Zea mays: one gene and its partners. The protein of the gene in region 1 interacts with the protein of each later gene in a pairwise test. Links are inferred from orthologs where the notes say so. Each region holds a gene or a part of one and is shown in the gene's direction. Other genes may lie near its edges. The genes, in order: guanine nucleotide-binding protein subunit beta, Coleoptile phototropism protein 1 and AGG2.

The links.
Region 2: the proteins of guanine nucleotide-binding protein subunit beta (region 1) and Coleoptile phototropism protein 1 interact in a two-hybrid assay, tested with the Arabidopsis thaliana proteins (2 studies listed by BioGRID, with this or other methods). The link is inferred for Zea mays from reciprocal best matches to the Arabidopsis thaliana genes AGB1 and NPH3.
Region 3: the proteins of guanine nucleotide-binding protein subunit beta (region 1) and AGG2 interact in a two-hybrid assay, tested with the Arabidopsis thaliana proteins (2 studies listed by BioGRID, with this or other methods). The link is inferred for Zea mays from reciprocal best matches to the Arabidopsis thaliana genes AGB1 and AGG2.

Annotation. Positions count from the first base shown.
Region 1 is NC_050096.1:264,530,521-264,535,652, reverse strand, and holds the end of guanine nucleotide-binding protein subunit beta, read left to right. Parts: exon of another isoform or gene 1-148; coding exon 149-573; intron 574-1,766; coding exon 1,767-2,130; intron 2,131-2,851; coding exon 2,852-2,965; intron 2,966-3,361; coding exon 3,362-3,397; 3' UTR 3,398-3,708; downstream 3,709-5,132. UniProt on the Arabidopsis thaliana protein: Guanine nucleotide-binding proteins (G proteins) are involved as a modulator or transducer in various transmembrane signaling systems.
Region 2 is NC_050100.1:178,902,173-178,907,304, reverse strand, and holds the start of Coleoptile phototropism protein 1, read left to right. Parts: upstream 1-1,914; 5' UTR 1,915-1,916; coding exon 1,917-2,050; intron 2,051-2,164; coding exon 2,165-2,234; intron 2,235-2,374; coding exon 2,375-3,026; intron 3,027-4,434; coding exon 4,435-5,132. UniProt on the Arabidopsis thaliana protein: May act as a substrate-specific adapter of an E3 ubiquitin-protein ligase complex (CUL3-RBX1-BTB) which mediates the ubiquitination and subsequent proteasomal degradation of target proteins.
Region 3 is NC_050096.1:259,634,879-259,640,010, forward strand, and holds AGG2, read left to right. Parts: upstream 1-1,901; 5' UTR 1,902-2,018; coding exon 2,019-2,120; intron 2,121-4,233; coding exon 4,234-4,286; intron 4,287-4,409; coding exon 4,410-4,454; intron 4,455-4,567; coding exon 4,568-4,652; 3' UTR 4,653-4,958; downstream 4,959-5,132. UniProt on the Arabidopsis thaliana protein: Guanine nucleotide-binding proteins (G proteins) are involved as a modulator or transducer in various transmembrane signaling systems.

The DNA of each region.
Region 1 (5,132 bases):
GAAGATGCATAATTGCATATATTTGGATTTTGCGGTGATTCTTGGAAATTCAGCACTTCAGCTATCTGTGTAGGGTACTACTTGCAAAATTGCTGCATCAAATGGTTTAGTGGTATTCTATTAACTCCTAAGTCATCAATCATCACAGGTATATTCTCTGGATTGGACCCCTGAAAAGAATTGGATAGTCAGTGCCTCTCAAGATGGAAGGTTAATTGTGTGGAATGCATTGACAAGCCAGAAAACACATGCCATAAAGCTGCATTGCCCATGGGTTATGGCGTGTGCTTTTGCACCCAATGGCCAATCTGTCGCCTGTGGTGGTCTTGATAGTGCGTGCTCTATTTTCAATCTCAATTCTCAAGCAGACAGAGATGGGAACATGCCAGTATCAAGAATTCTTACTGGACACAAGGGCTATGTCTCATCATGTCAATATGTCCCAGATCAGGAAACACGTCTTATTACTAGTTCAGGTGATCAAACATGTGTTCTTTGGGATGTTACTACTGGACAGAGGATATCAATATTTGGTGGTGAATTCCCATCAGGGCATACAGCTGATGTTCAAAGGTAATTGGTAGTGCTTCTGATTTTTTGAAGACTGAATATTTTAGTGCCATGTGTAGCGCTTCTGATTTCTCTCCTCAAAGTTAATTGGTATCTTCTCATTTGTACATTTTTAACTTAGGCTGGTGCACACTAGGTTGCTAGCTTTACCAATATGTCAATGTTCGATGATCAAATTATCCCTATTGCTTCTAAAGTTTTCTTTGTAAACTGAATATTATTCATGTGGATTTGAATAAAGTTTACCTACAATGACTGGTTTGTATTTGTCTGCTGTTACAGTTGGACAATGAAAACGTACTTTTTAGTACTGAATGTAATTTTAGTAATAACAAGTACTCCTTCCATTCCAAATTGTTGGTATTTTAGTTTGTCATAAATCAAACTTCTCTATTTGTGCAGCAGTTCTAGTTACCCAAAACACTGTTTTGCACTGTAGACTCTACTATTCACAGAGTAGAGTTTGACTATGAGTATGGGTATGGGTAAACTGCTGGAGATAGCCTTAGGTAACTGTGTGTGTATTCTCTCCTGTAATGGGCTTTGGCCCACATACTCTGCTATACTAATACATTCCCAACCCACATTAGGGTTAGGGTTTCAGTGCATTTAACACTATTTACTAAGTTTATTGAAAATGCACCAATATCTACAATATCAGATTAGTTTCATTGATCCACCATGAGATATGACTTGGTAGTGCATTTTTCCACTCTCTGACCCAAATTATAGGTCGTTTTGGCTTTTCAATTTTTGCTATATAGCTAGATATACAATATGTCTAAATACATAATAGAGGTTATGTATCTACAAAATCCAAAACAACCTATAAATTGAAATGGATGGAGTATTTGGTATTGTGTGCGCATGTGCGTGCTTGTTGGACCGGAGGTGGAGTGGTAAGGTCTTCACATGGTAGCACAGTAGGCATTTGGATAACACTCTTGCCTAAGATTGCTGATATTACATCACTTATTATGGATGCAATTGCCCTAGTACAATTGGGCACTACTTACCAACTAGTCTAGCAGACGCATGTGCAAAATATGTTGTCTATGCAGCAAATACATGAACCAAAGTAACATATGGTAGCACATTTATGTTGCGTTTTTTAACTGAAAGTGCTGGTTTATCAGGTTATCATTGATATTTGGAGTTTGGTTTTGAATTCTCTGACCTTTCCCTTTCTTGTTCAGTGTGTCCATCAACTCATCAAATACAAATATGTTTGTCTCTGGCTCATGTGATACAACTGTGAGGCTGTGGGATATCAGAATTGCAAGTCGAGCTGTTCGAACCTACCATGGACATGAGGATGATGTTAACAGTGTGAAGTTTTTCCCTGATGGCCATAGGTTTGGTACTGGCTCAGATGATGGCACATGTAGATTATTTGATATGAGAACAGGGCATCAACTTCAGGTGTACAGTAGGGAGCCTGATAGAAATAGTAATGAACTACCTACTGTTACATCTATTGCATTTTCAATATCAGGAAGGCTACTTTTTGCTGGTTACTCCAATGGTGACTGTTATGTGTGGGACACACTTCTCGCCGAGGTTTGCATTTTTACCATTTACCATGGATTGAATACAGCTTATTTTATATTACAAAGGAAAACTAATGCCCATAATCAACAAGTTACTGGTACACTTTACTGTTTCGCCACGGTTTTCTTAATCGAGAAAAATATGACATACAGTTCACTTGGTGTGAGCCACATAAATTCAATGTTAGGCAATCAGTTAACACTAGTGATATAATCTTTATGTTAGATAAGCATAACTCCATTGCCAGTCAGTAGCAATATAAGCATACAAATGCGAAATCTAGCCACGGGAGAAAGCAATGGAATATGATGAACTAACTGCCTAAATTTTTATTTGAAATGCTCCTCAGCAACTATTGCAATTGCATGAATTGATGTTTGCATTGGACCCAGGACCTCATGAATAAGTAACCTAGCCTCGGTTCCTTCCATATTAGTCCACATATATCATCAACCTAGACTAGGCAGGTCATGCATACAAATTTAGAGGATGCTGCTGCAGATCACCTTGTATTGTATCAAGAGATTCCTAGTTAGTGCTATATGCCAAGAGGTTTAGAACGTTGGTTTTGATTTAGGCCAACTTAATGGATAATTGTATACCTGCATTTAAAAGCTTATCTGAGTTCAAGTTATTGTGAAGGCTTGTCGGTCACCTCCGTTATTTTTTATCTGTTTGTCATTATTGTTTATAGTACCTTCTGTTGTCAATTTCCGTTGAAATTTTGCAGGTGGTACTTAATTTGGGAAACCTGCAAAACTCCCATGATGGCCGTATAAGTTGCCTCGGGATGTCATCTGATGGGAGTGCATTGTGTACAGGAAGCTGGGACAAAAATTTGAAGGTAAGGACACTTAAGAAAGATCATTTTCATTGACTGCTTCCTCAGTTTTGTTGAATTGTTGCCTTTGACACTAACAGTTTTACTCTAACTGAAGTAGTAGTTGTACTACATGCATACTCAGCTTATGCTGTTTGTTAAACCCTACTCAAAGTGAATACCTTTCATTAGAGTACTCTGGTTAAATCTTTACTTGGTATTGATGACGAATACTCTTTGGATTGAAATACGGTACTTCTTAGTTCTTGGTACCTAGGATGGAATAATGGATTATACTCTTCTTTTTCCCCACTCTTAGCATATTCTATCACTAATCCTGAGAATTCCCAGATAAATAGTAGTTTGGTGCAAATTTCAGTATTTTTTATATCGATGGTGTCAATTGTTGAAAATTTACAGATTTGGGCCTTCAGTGGACACCGGAAGATAGTTTGAAGGCCAACTTTTCTCCCCCATGTTGTATGTTCCTTGTTGCCCCTTAACAACGGACAGTGGTGATTGGTGACCAACTCGACTTGTTCCTGGGAATCCCTTTGTTGTTTTGTAAGCTCTGTTCGCGCTATGTTTAATGGAAAAATGTGCAATTTGTCAGTGTCACGGCGCTACATCTTGTTGAGTTGGTAACTGTTTATACTGTTATTACGAGAATATCAGTAACGTGTGATCTGCCCTTTTCTTTGTACAACCGTTTGATCTTTTCAGGTTTTGTGAAGTAGCATGTATTTCCTTAATCAATTTATCATATCAGTTTGTCCATTTGCTGAATTAAGAACATTAGCTTAATGGGGCGTACTATATGCATTTTATGTTTAGTAATCACCACACTTTTGAAGCATGAATTTCTTTGTGCATCCTCCTCCCTCCCTTTGCCCCAGCGACTGGCGAGCAAAGAATGGGGCGTGCAGGATTCAAACTTTGCCTCACTTCCTTCCCTGGGGCTAGTTTGGGAACTATTTTTTAAGTGATTTCTATTTCTCCAAGAGAAAATAAACTAATTTTCTTGGAAAAATGTAAATCCTTTGGAAAATGGGGTTCTCAAACTTGCCTTTTCATATCCACTTGTCTTGTATAAAGAAAAAAATATTATAAATAATCATAATAATGCACTGGCAACTAACTACAAAATACTAGTATTTAATATATGTGCATGAGGCAAGGCGAAGCAAATGTTTATCTTGAGTGTACTCTCGAAGTCATAAAATAATAATAATAAATAAATGTACATGATGCGAGGCGAGGGAAACATCAAATATCAAAACTGTTGTTCCAGGTATGCATCTTTCATTGACTTGTCATTCCCACTAAGAACCCAGCCAAACTCCCAGAAACGTCCATGACCCAGGAGACGCTGCGAGCCAACCGAACCTTAGGCTGAGTCCACCCTCTCGCCCCTGCCACGTCAGCTCTCGCCTCCACTCTCGCCCCGGCTGCTCCAGTGCACAGGCTGCAGCAGGCTACAGCCTCAGGCTATAGCCACGTCAGCTTTTCTATTTCAGAATTAAGTAATTCACGCGGATTTATTTCAACGCTGAGAAAACACACAACATAATATTTTTTATTGAATTAAAAATTACAAAGTACGTAATAATTAAAATAAAATAACATGATAATTAAAATAAAATTACAAAGTATATATAGAGGGATTGGGGATGAAATTTGTGATATTTTGCAATTTTTTTCGAATTTTTTGGGCTCCAAACGGTCAAAAACGGCTAGTTGCAACGGCTAGCACACGTGGACCAATCAGATCGCGACACGTGGACCAATCAGATCGCGTCACGTCGCTCTCGCCCGCGCTCTCGCCCCGCCAGTGCCTCGCCTCCCTCTCGCCTCCCTCTCGCCCGCCTCTCGCCCAGGCGAGCGCTCCAGCGCGGGCGAGAGCGAGGCGATATCGCCCGCTCTCGCCGGGCGCCAGCGCCATCGCCCGGCGCCGGCCTCTCGCCCGCCTATCGCCCGCGCGCGGGCGGCAGCGGCCTCTTCTCGCCCGCGCTGCCGCCCGCACTGGCACCAGCCTTAGGAGTCGATGACACTTCTAAGCTCTGTTCTTCAAGCAAGATGTCCAACCACCTCTTTAACATATATTCTTTCACTGCATTCACACCTTTGTTCACAATGACCTCTGGTGGCATGGCCAAGGGATTCTGCTCCAAGTTGAGCTTCTCCAATTTCA
Region 2 (5,132 bases), on another chromosome or scaffold:
CTGGCTACCTATTTGTCTGCAGGTAACGACGAGGAGGAGAAGCAGGCAGCTGGTGCCTGGTGGTGAGCGCGGTGACCACCATATCCGAGTACGTGCTATCAGGAGCAGCTCGCTAGGTCGTCCAACGCCGAGAGCAAAACACCCCATGTGCTCTCTCCATCGCTAGCTCCTCGACGAACCACGGCCCCATAACCTATGAGCCTACGATCGATCGACGACCGGCGCCCGCACTCGCTCGCGCGACGTACGATCCAGATCCAATAATCAGCAGCACCAACCAACCGAGATACACACCTATTCCCCCTCTCCTCTCTCCCGCCGGCCTATATCCATCCGGCCACCCTCTACTTGCTTGCTATTGCTGGCTAGCCTCCCTTCAAAAAGAAAAAGTCTTTATTTCATATTTCGACAAAATAATCAACCTCAACTTTAATTATATTTATAGATATCAGTATCGATATCTGTACGTCCGTTACTATAAAAGATATGATGCCGTTAATTCAATAGTGACTATATAGCTAGCACCATGAATATTAATAGTTTTAACATATATTTGATCGAAGTTTAGATTATTTAACTGTTTTCAAATGCGAGATATGTAGATTTATTTTATGACAGAGGGAGTAGAAGTCCAGCTCGGGTTATATCACGAGCTATTCCCCATATTCATCTCCCTTTACCTATACTTTCTATTATATCTTATTACATCTTAGACCTCTCCATCTTCAACCATTCCCCTATACATTATAAGCAAGTTATTTAATATTTATTTATCATTTTTTATGATATTTGTACTACAATAATACCTAATAATCATGTTAAGCAGCTTAAACATGATTACTATCATAAAAAATGATGTAATTAAAATATATGGTTGGAAGCCGGTCGATAGACGCCTCCAGTGACATTTTGCTGCTGCTTATGCATCTTTTTGTTCTTGGATGTATTCAGCTTATCTGCTTTGGTAGATAAAAACTAGCTTTAGTCGTCGCTGGTATTGGCGGGTCAGGCTGCTTTTGGGAACTGTCCCTAGTTGATCTCCATAGATGACTGTTAGTCTTTCAGATTACTTCTGGTTTGCTATGTTCCTTCAGTTGGATTTTATAACACTGCGTAGCTGATAATGTAGTAGGCTTATCGGCTTGCAGTTGTTGGTTAAGTCGGGAATTTTGTAAGAACTGTGATCGGTTTCTATTTTTTAATGAAATAGGGGGTTTCCCGTTGTCAAAAAAAAATAGTGCTCCTTTTGTATGGAAGTCGCTTCTCCACTGCCATATAGCGAGTGGCTAGCAGCAGCATCAGCCGCTGCTGGTATTGTCAATCGTAAATCAACACCTACTTTCCACCATCGTAAAACATGTATACATCTTGTACTTTTACGAAATCAAATACTTTAAAATTTAACTACATTTTCAAGGAAGGGGAGGGAGTACTACATACACAGTTGCAACGACAACGAGAGCAGGACGGCTGCAGTACCCTGCTGCAGTGCTGCTGCTTATTCATCATCTCCCATCCGCGTGCACTCGCGCAGTTTCCATATGAAGTAACCATTTTAGTTTCTTAAATTGGACTACCTTACTTCATCCACTCTAAGTTATAATCCATTTAAATTTCTAAATCATAAGTCATTTAATATTTTTTGAAAGCTAAAGTATCTCCGATTTGACCTTTGTCAATGCAATTTTTATAGTGTGTTGGTCAAATTAGAGATATTTTAACTAAAAAAATGACTTCTTATCTGGAACCAAATGAAGGCAGTAGTAATGACAAGTTTGCTCGTCTGTCCATTTCTTTTCATGAATATCATATAGAGAGAGAGAGAGAGAGAGCACCCCGGAGAGAGCTATATACACGCACACACACAAGCTTCTGTAGTCGTTCAGTCAAGGCGAGGCGAGCGTCGATTGAAGACGATGTGGGAGTCAGAGGGCGATTGCCATGCCGGTGAGCGCGAGCGCGGGCTCGTCCCTGTCGGCGGCGGCGGCTCCTCGGGCCGGTACGAGGCAGCGCTCAAGAACGACGGCTTTGTTCGAAGAGACCAGTCCTGGTACATCTAGCTAGCTAGCTAGCTAGCTATATACTTCGTTCATCCATGTATATAATTTTAGTGCTAATTAATTAAAGTTGATGTTCACCGTTCCGAGCGAATGATTTTGAGCAGGTATGTAAACAGCGATATTCCCAGCGATTTGCTTGTCAAAGTTGGAGATGTTAGCTTCCACCTTCACAAGGTAGCTAGCTGCTAGTGGCTTTGTTAATTATTTCATAATTTATTGTTCCCGTACGTCGTGCTAGCTGCAACCACACGATCATATTCATATCCAATATATGCATGCGCACGCGCGCGCGCCTGCACCCCTGATGCCCGCAGTACCCGATGATCTCCCGGAGCGGGCGGATGAGCCGCGTGATCTACGAGACGGCGGCGGCGGCCCCGGACTCGGGCGCGGCGGCGGCGGTGGTGGTGGAGCTGGACGACGTCCCGGGCGGCGCGGACTCGTTCGAGCTGGCGGCGCGGTTCTGCTACGGCATGGCGGTGGACCTGACGGCGGGCAACATCTCGGGGCTGCGCTGCGCCGCCGAGTACCTGGAGATGACGGAGGAGCTGGAGGAAGGCAACCTCATCTTCAAGACGGAGGCGTTCCTCAGCTACGTGGTGCTGTCGTCGTGGCGGGACTCCATCGTGGTGCTCAAGACCTGCGAGGGCCTCTCGCCCTGGGCCGAGAACCTGCAGATCGTGCGCCGCTGCAGCGAGTCCATCGCCTGGAAGGCCTGCGCCAACCCGCGGGGCGTGCGCTGGGCCTACACCGGCGGCGGTGGGGGGAGGCCGATGCCGACCACCAGGGCAGGCGCCGGCGGCGGCACGGCGAGCCCCCGGTGGAACCTCGGCGGCGGCGGCGGGGACTCCAAGGAGTCGAGCCCGAGCCGGCAGGCCGTGCCGCCGCCGGACTGGTGGTTCGAGGACGTGTCCATGCTCCGGATCGACCACTTCGTGCGCGTCGTCACCGCCATCAAGGTCAAAGGTACCGTACCATAGCGATCGACCGCTAGCTTAATCACACTGTATCTTATATTAATGCTCATGTTTAAGAAGGTATTATCTCCAATTAGTATCTCCTTCCACACACACACAAAAAAAAACTCTGATTAGTACTAGTACTAGCTAGCTAACAGCTAGATCGATGGACCATTCACGTACTGATCCAGCTACATGAGTGCAGCACGGATTATTAGTACCGTTCAATGTTCCTCCCTGTCGAGAAAACAACATTCTTATCTGCGCGCATGCATGTGAGGGAAAACAAAAAACAAAATAGTTTTATGGCGCAAGTGTCATGAACAGTGGAGCACAGTGTGCATTGTTCAAGCTGTGCCAAGAGCCCAAGACACTGGCACAATCACATGAGCTGCCGTCGACAGTGAAGCTGGGCCCCGGCTTCACTCCTGGTCACCATATATGTGTGTCTTCCCCTTAATTTGGTACCAAATCAATTTGATGAATCCCGTGAAACCAAACGGTAGAAATTTTTTTATTCAACTTCTACATGAAAACGAGATAAAATTAAACTAGCCTTCCAGTTCCATTAGCTTTCAGAACCAGTGCAAATTACGCCAGCTGTTGTTTTCATTGGCGGTTTCGTTGATGTTGGAATGTTGGAGCCACAACGCTCTGAGTGGCAAGCCGTCACATCGTCCTTTCCATTCTATTTGGAGGGAGATGCCGGCCGGTAGGATCAGATCGCCGCCGACGTGGGCCGTGGGAATGGGACGCACGGAGACCCTTCCATTTGCCCATCAGCACCAAATAAACCAACAGACTCTGAACATAATTTGCATCAGTTGCCCCAATACACATGGATTGAATAGAATTTTGTTCGGTTATTCCCAATACACATGGGTTAGATATGATTGGAAAAAAATAAGAATAAATTTGACTTATTTGAGATTCGAACCTATCCAATCTCACTCAATCCACATGAATTGAGAGCTAACCGAACAAACCCTAAAGTGTAAGTTAAACTAATTTACATTTCAATGCACCTTAATACATGTGTATTGATCTAAATACTAGAGTACTCAAGCAAAGCCTCATGTGAGAAATAAATTGTGTGTGTGCTAGTAATAAGACGAGCTGATCAAACTCGACTAAAAAAGTCAAACAAATTATAAATTAAAATGAAAGTAATATAAACCATGTGTGTGTTAGTAATTAAACTGCACCCAATATTAACGTGACTCTGGCCTCCACTTCGTGCTCTATCTTTTTTCTTCTTTTCATCTATTTTTTTTTTTACCTATGGTACTCTTGTGTCGTATCAGCATAATAAAGAGGAATTATTGATGATACACAACATTGTTACTTTATCATTTGTGAGTGAAGCTAGTAATCGAAACAATTTCCTGTTCGTTGCCTCTTTCTCTTTGTGGTAGGCATGCGGTTCGATCTCATCGGCGCGTCCATCACCCACTACGCATCCAAATGGCTCCCGGGTCTCACCAAGGACGGCCCGCACGGCGGCGCGCTGGAGGAGCCCTGGGCTCAGGCCCAGGCGTCCCCCGGCGGCGGGCTCCACATGATCATCGCCAGCGGCGGCGGCGGCGGCGGCGGCAAGGACGACATCGCCGGGAGCACGCCGGCGCGGGAGCAGCGCATGGTGGTGGAGAGCCTGATCAGCATCATCCCGCTGCAGCGCGACAGCGTCTCGTGCGGCTTCCTCCTCCGCCTGCTCCGCCTGGCCGTCATGCTGAAGGCCGCCCCGGCGCTGGTGACGGAGCTGGAGAAGCGCGTGGGCATGCAGCTCGAGCAGGCGGTGCTGGCCGACCTGCTCATCCCCTCCTACGGCCGCGCCGACACCGCCTACGACGTGGACCTCGTGCAGCGCCTCGTCGAGCACTTCCTGGTGCAGGAGCAGACGGAGCTGCTGGCGTCGTCCAGCCCCGGCCGCGTGGAGCAGCCGCCGCTGCCCGAGTACTACGGCGCTAGGACGGCGGGCGCCGCGGCAGCGTCGGCGTCGGCGGGGCTGAACGCCAAGGCGCGCGTCGCCCGGCTGCTCGACAGCTACCTCTCCGAGGTGTCCCGCGACCGCAACCTGTCCCTGACGAAGTTCCAGGTGCTGGCCGAGTCGCTC
Region 3 (5,132 bases), about 4.9 Mb from region 1:
TCGGAATAGGGACATTATTTAGAATAACCATACAAGTAAAGAATCTCACAAACAATTCACATAATTGCTAATCAATACAAGGTGCCTTTCATGGATATTCAATTAAGCAATATATATATCATGGATACAAAGAAATATGCTTATCTCTATGATTATCTCTAGGGCATATTTCTAACAGTCTCCCACTTGCACTAGAGTTAATCTAGTAGATATCTAATACCCATAGATCTCATGTGTGACTCGTGCTTAGGTTGTGGAAGAGGTTTTGTCAAAGGATCAACAACATTCAAATCCGTATGTATTTTGCATATCTTTATCTCACCCCGCCTAACGAATTCTTGTATGAGGTGAAACTTCCGCAGTACGTGTTTGCTTTTCTGGTGATTCCTTGGCTCCTTAGCTTGCGCAATAGCCCCATTGTTGTCACATTAGATGTTCAATGGACTAGAGGCATTAGGAAACACAGCAAGCTCGATGAGGATCTTCCGTATCCAAACACCTTCCTTCACAAATTCAGAAGCTGCAATGTACTTGGCTTCTGTTGTAGAATCAGTCACAGTCTCCTGCTTGGAACTCTTCCCGCTAACAACACCACCATTTATTATGAACACAAAACCTGATTGCGATTTTAACTCGTCTGGATCAGTTTAGAAGCTAGCATCGGTGTAACCAGTTACAACGAGCTCCTCCGAACCCCCATATACCATGAACATATCTTTAGTCCTTCTCAATTACTTAAGAATGCCTTTTACCGTTGTTTAGTGATCCTCACTTGGATCAGTCTAGTGCCTACTCATAGCACTTATAGCATATGAAACATCTGGGTGTGTACTTATCATGGCATACATGATTGATCCAATTGCCGAGACGTACGATACCTTACTCATGCGCTCTCGCTCATTAGCTGTTGTAGGACACTGCTTCTTCATAAGGTGTATACGATGTGACATAGGTAAGAACCCTTTCTTGGACTATTCCATGTTGATCTATTTTAATACCTTGTCAATGTATGTATCTTGACTTAATCCTATAAGCCACTTCGACCTATCTCTATAGATCCTTATGCCCAAAATATATGTTGTTTTCTCTAAATCTTTCATATAAAAACTCTTTTTCAGTGAAACATTGATGGACTCCAGCATAGGAATATCGTTCCCAATCAATAATATGTCATCCACATACAAGATCAGAAATACAGCAGCGCTCCCACTTTCGTTCTTTTAAACACAAGCTTCTTCATTCTGATGAAAACCAAACCCTTTAACCACTTCATCAAAATGAATGTTCCAACTCCGAAATGCTTGCTTCAACCCATAAATAGATTTCTGAAGTTTGCATATCTTTCCAGCATTGATCGGATCGACAAAACCCTCGGGTTGTATCATATACACATCCTTATCTAGTTTTCCATTAAGAAAAGTTGTTTTGACATTCATTTGTCAAATCTCATAATCTGTCAAATCTCATAATCGAAATATACGACAATAGCTAGTAAAGAACGATTTAATTAGTACTTTATATTATTTTAAAAAATGAAAACTGGAAAAGGAAAAGAATTGGAGGAAGAAACGGACAGGATAACCGAGTGGGAGAGTGGGAGTTGGTCACTTGGTCTAGTACTCTAGTACAGTTGTTAGAATAAACCCTCCACTGTCAGAGCCCAAACCTCTCACGTTAACCAAAAAAAAGGGAAATTTGGATTCATACCATTAAAAGATCACCACTTTGAATCCATACCATTACTATCTCACTTACATGTGGGTCCACATGAGTCAATGACATGTGAGGTCCATGGTATATATCTAAAGTTTGGATCTTTTAATGGTATAGATCCAATTGTTCAAAAAAAAAAAAAAGGCAGAACCTTTCTGGTCTGGCCACCCGCATTCCGTGACAGTTCCTCGTCTTCTTCCTCTCCGCCTGCTCGCTTCCCCAACCCACTCACGCTTCCGCTGTGCCTGCCAGTTACCTTGCGCCTCACTGGATCGCACCAACCCTCTCCCGCTCATCGGACGGCGATGCAGGTCGGGGACGGCGGTGGGGACTCGGCGGACTTGCGGGGCCGCCACCGGATCCAGGCCGAGCTCAAGAAGCTCGAGCAGGAGGCGCGCTTCCTCGAGGTGTGTGCCCCTGTCTCCCCTCCCCCCATGAACTCGCTTCCTGCCTCGTCGATTCCATAGCGTTAGTGCGTACTATGCTGGCTTGGCTGTGTTCCAAAAAGAATTGATCATCGCAAAAAGGAAAACTCCTTTTCAGAGGACTTCTTGGTGGTATGATCTCCTGAAATGCAGGGGTAGGGAGTATCCATCCCACCGAATTCGGCCAAGCATGCTGCTTTCTAGCCCAATGGTCAAAGTATGCAGAACAGTCTAGAACAATCCGTGGCATAATTTCCGAGATTCATATTCTCCCTCTTATGATCCATGAGGAAATAATGGCCATGGGAAGTTAGGGACATCTTTTCTTGCTATGGTTTCCCAAGACCCGCGTTTTCCTGCGTTCCTTCCTCGTGGAGGTGCAGGTGGGTCTGGGTTGGGAGAAGCAGCCATGTGCATGTGCAAGTGCAAGCTCCATGTGCTCTTTGTTTCCTGCCTTGTCCTGCTGCAACAATGTGCTTGTTGCGAATATTCATTTTTCCGTTCCGTTGTGTGGGCCTTTTTTCTGATGGGGACAAACGCGGAGTAGCTCTTTCTGTCCGACTAGTTGGAGTTTTATGCCTTGATAGATATATTGCAGTCTGTAGTCGAAAACCCTACTGATTCTTCTGCACCAAATGATTGGGGACAGTGTACTGAAGACTGAAACCTCTGATGAGGCGTGGTGATGCTCCTTTCTGGGTGGGTGGGTGGGGGGACCTGTGGCCATGGGAACCTGTTTTCTAGTTTCTGAGATGCAGCGTCTGTACTTTAAATATATGTACTTATTTGTGGGACAGCACATAGCAGTGTTGGTTAAAACCATTTATAAAGCAGAACATATTTCTTTTCTAATAAGTATACTTGAGCAGCAAGATCAGCGAAAGTGATTTTATTAAGGACATAGAGCCTGCTACCATTTATATATGCATTATCTATTTATCTTTGACATTCTGAAGCTGGAGCCATGAAGCTAAGCAGCTAATAATAACTGACAAGCTCGTATGTTGGCTCAGCAATGTCTTATGGTAAACTTGTATGTTGGGCAAGGGACATATCTTGAACATTACTGTTTGCTTGTTTGACGTTGTTGTTTTTTTTTTTTTTGCTGAAATATTTGTTTATATGTTTATAAGGCACCGAAGAATTCATGCAAGTTTAAAAGCATGTAGAACTGTCGAGTCTTGATAACTTTTAATAGCATCCTAGTTCTTTATATGGTGAAATCCTTCCATTGACATCTACGAGCTGCAGTCTTTCTGAAGCAGAAATACCAGCAGATACCATCAAGTGATGGACATACTGTACCTTCCAAGCATGTAGTAATGCAGCATGGTCATTCCTGCTCCCTCTGTTTTTTATTAATCAACAGCCTGGATCCGACAGATAGATCATCAGACCTTCCAGAAAATAACATTTTCCACAAGTTTTACTTGTGAATGTGATATAGACAACTTATCATAAGCTTCACTTTTTTGGCCAAATTGTGATGATTCGTCTGCATTGTTTTTGGCCGTTATCATTTCCATTCAGGTAGAGATTGGATTATCGATTTACTGTCCACATGGCCCATCCTGTAGCATCTTTGTGTACATATAAAGAGCATCTTCAATTGTCATTTTTGTTTCTGAATCTTCAGCTTATGCCCTGGCCCACAACATATACGCAAATAAGCAAAGCTACACATTACCAACTAACCACATAATAAATTTATCAATATCAGTGCTGTAGACTACATTTCCTCTGCGTTCTGGACATTATCGTCAGATCTGTCAAAGTTTTTTTTCCTTTTGTTAATACTCCCTCCGTCCCAAGATATAAGGCGTAACCACTTTTTATTCTTGTCCCACAATATAAGGCGTGCTCTCTCTATGCATACGTATATCGATGCAGTGGTATAGAGACAATTAAATGCATTTCTTGGTCTTTGAACCAGAGGTGGTTACGCCTTATATCCTGGGACGGAGGGAGTACATAATAACTATGCACAAGTGGCAAAGATGTAATTACTATCTAAGCTGTTGTAGTTTTCCACCCTTACCTAAGTAGTGATGTTCTCAGTTTTCAAACACTGATGCGTCAGTGCGATTGAGTGCAGGAGGAACTTGAAGAGCTCGATAAAGCGGATAAGGTATCATCTGCGTTGCAAGAGTACGTGTCACCTGCAGAAGAAATGTGATTTAAACCCAGCATTTTGCTATGGTGCTTATGATCTGAAGGCAATTTTTATATGGCTTGTTGCTGGAGATTGACTGGGCTGTTTTACGTGGCCAGGTTTCTAATAGCAATGGAAAGAAAAGCTGACCCTCTACTTCCTGTGTAAGAGAAGCGAAAAAGTTACTTATGTTGCTTTTTATCCAAACATCTAACTGATATATTCACAATATTGCCTTTGCTTGTTTGTTTGTTTTTCGTTTCCCCTGTTGTTGCAGATCTGCTGGACCTGTGAATCAGTCCTGGGATAGGTGGTTTGAAGGTCCTCAAGATCTGCGCGGATGCAAATGCTGGTTTTTGTGATACTGGGCAATATTATCAAGAGAAACAGCAAGAGGCGATTCTTGCTACCATTCAAGTGTACATCATTTTTTTTGTCCCCGCAGTATAACCAGTATCCATTTGAGGCGAGGATTCTGGATGGCATCATCCAAAGATCCGTGTAAGGCGTGAAGGACTCAGGAAATGGCCTGAGAAGTGAGGACAGAAATCTGGAATTCAAAAGTGACAAACTTTGTCCTAACATGTTCTCTGTAGACTGAACTGAACTCTTGTTGACTGGCAATCAGTTTGTTTTGTGTTTATCCAACCCAAATGCCTTACTTTTCTGTGATCCTTGTGCTACTAACATTTCAAATTATTGTACCATGGCGTGGGAACTTACATAATCCACGTGATTGGTTACCCTGCTCGCCATATTCATGTCAGCGTTGACCGTGTGTGAGCTAGTGATTGGTTGCCTGCGGGAGCACGACTCTGGCTTGTACGCGCTGCTGCAGCCTA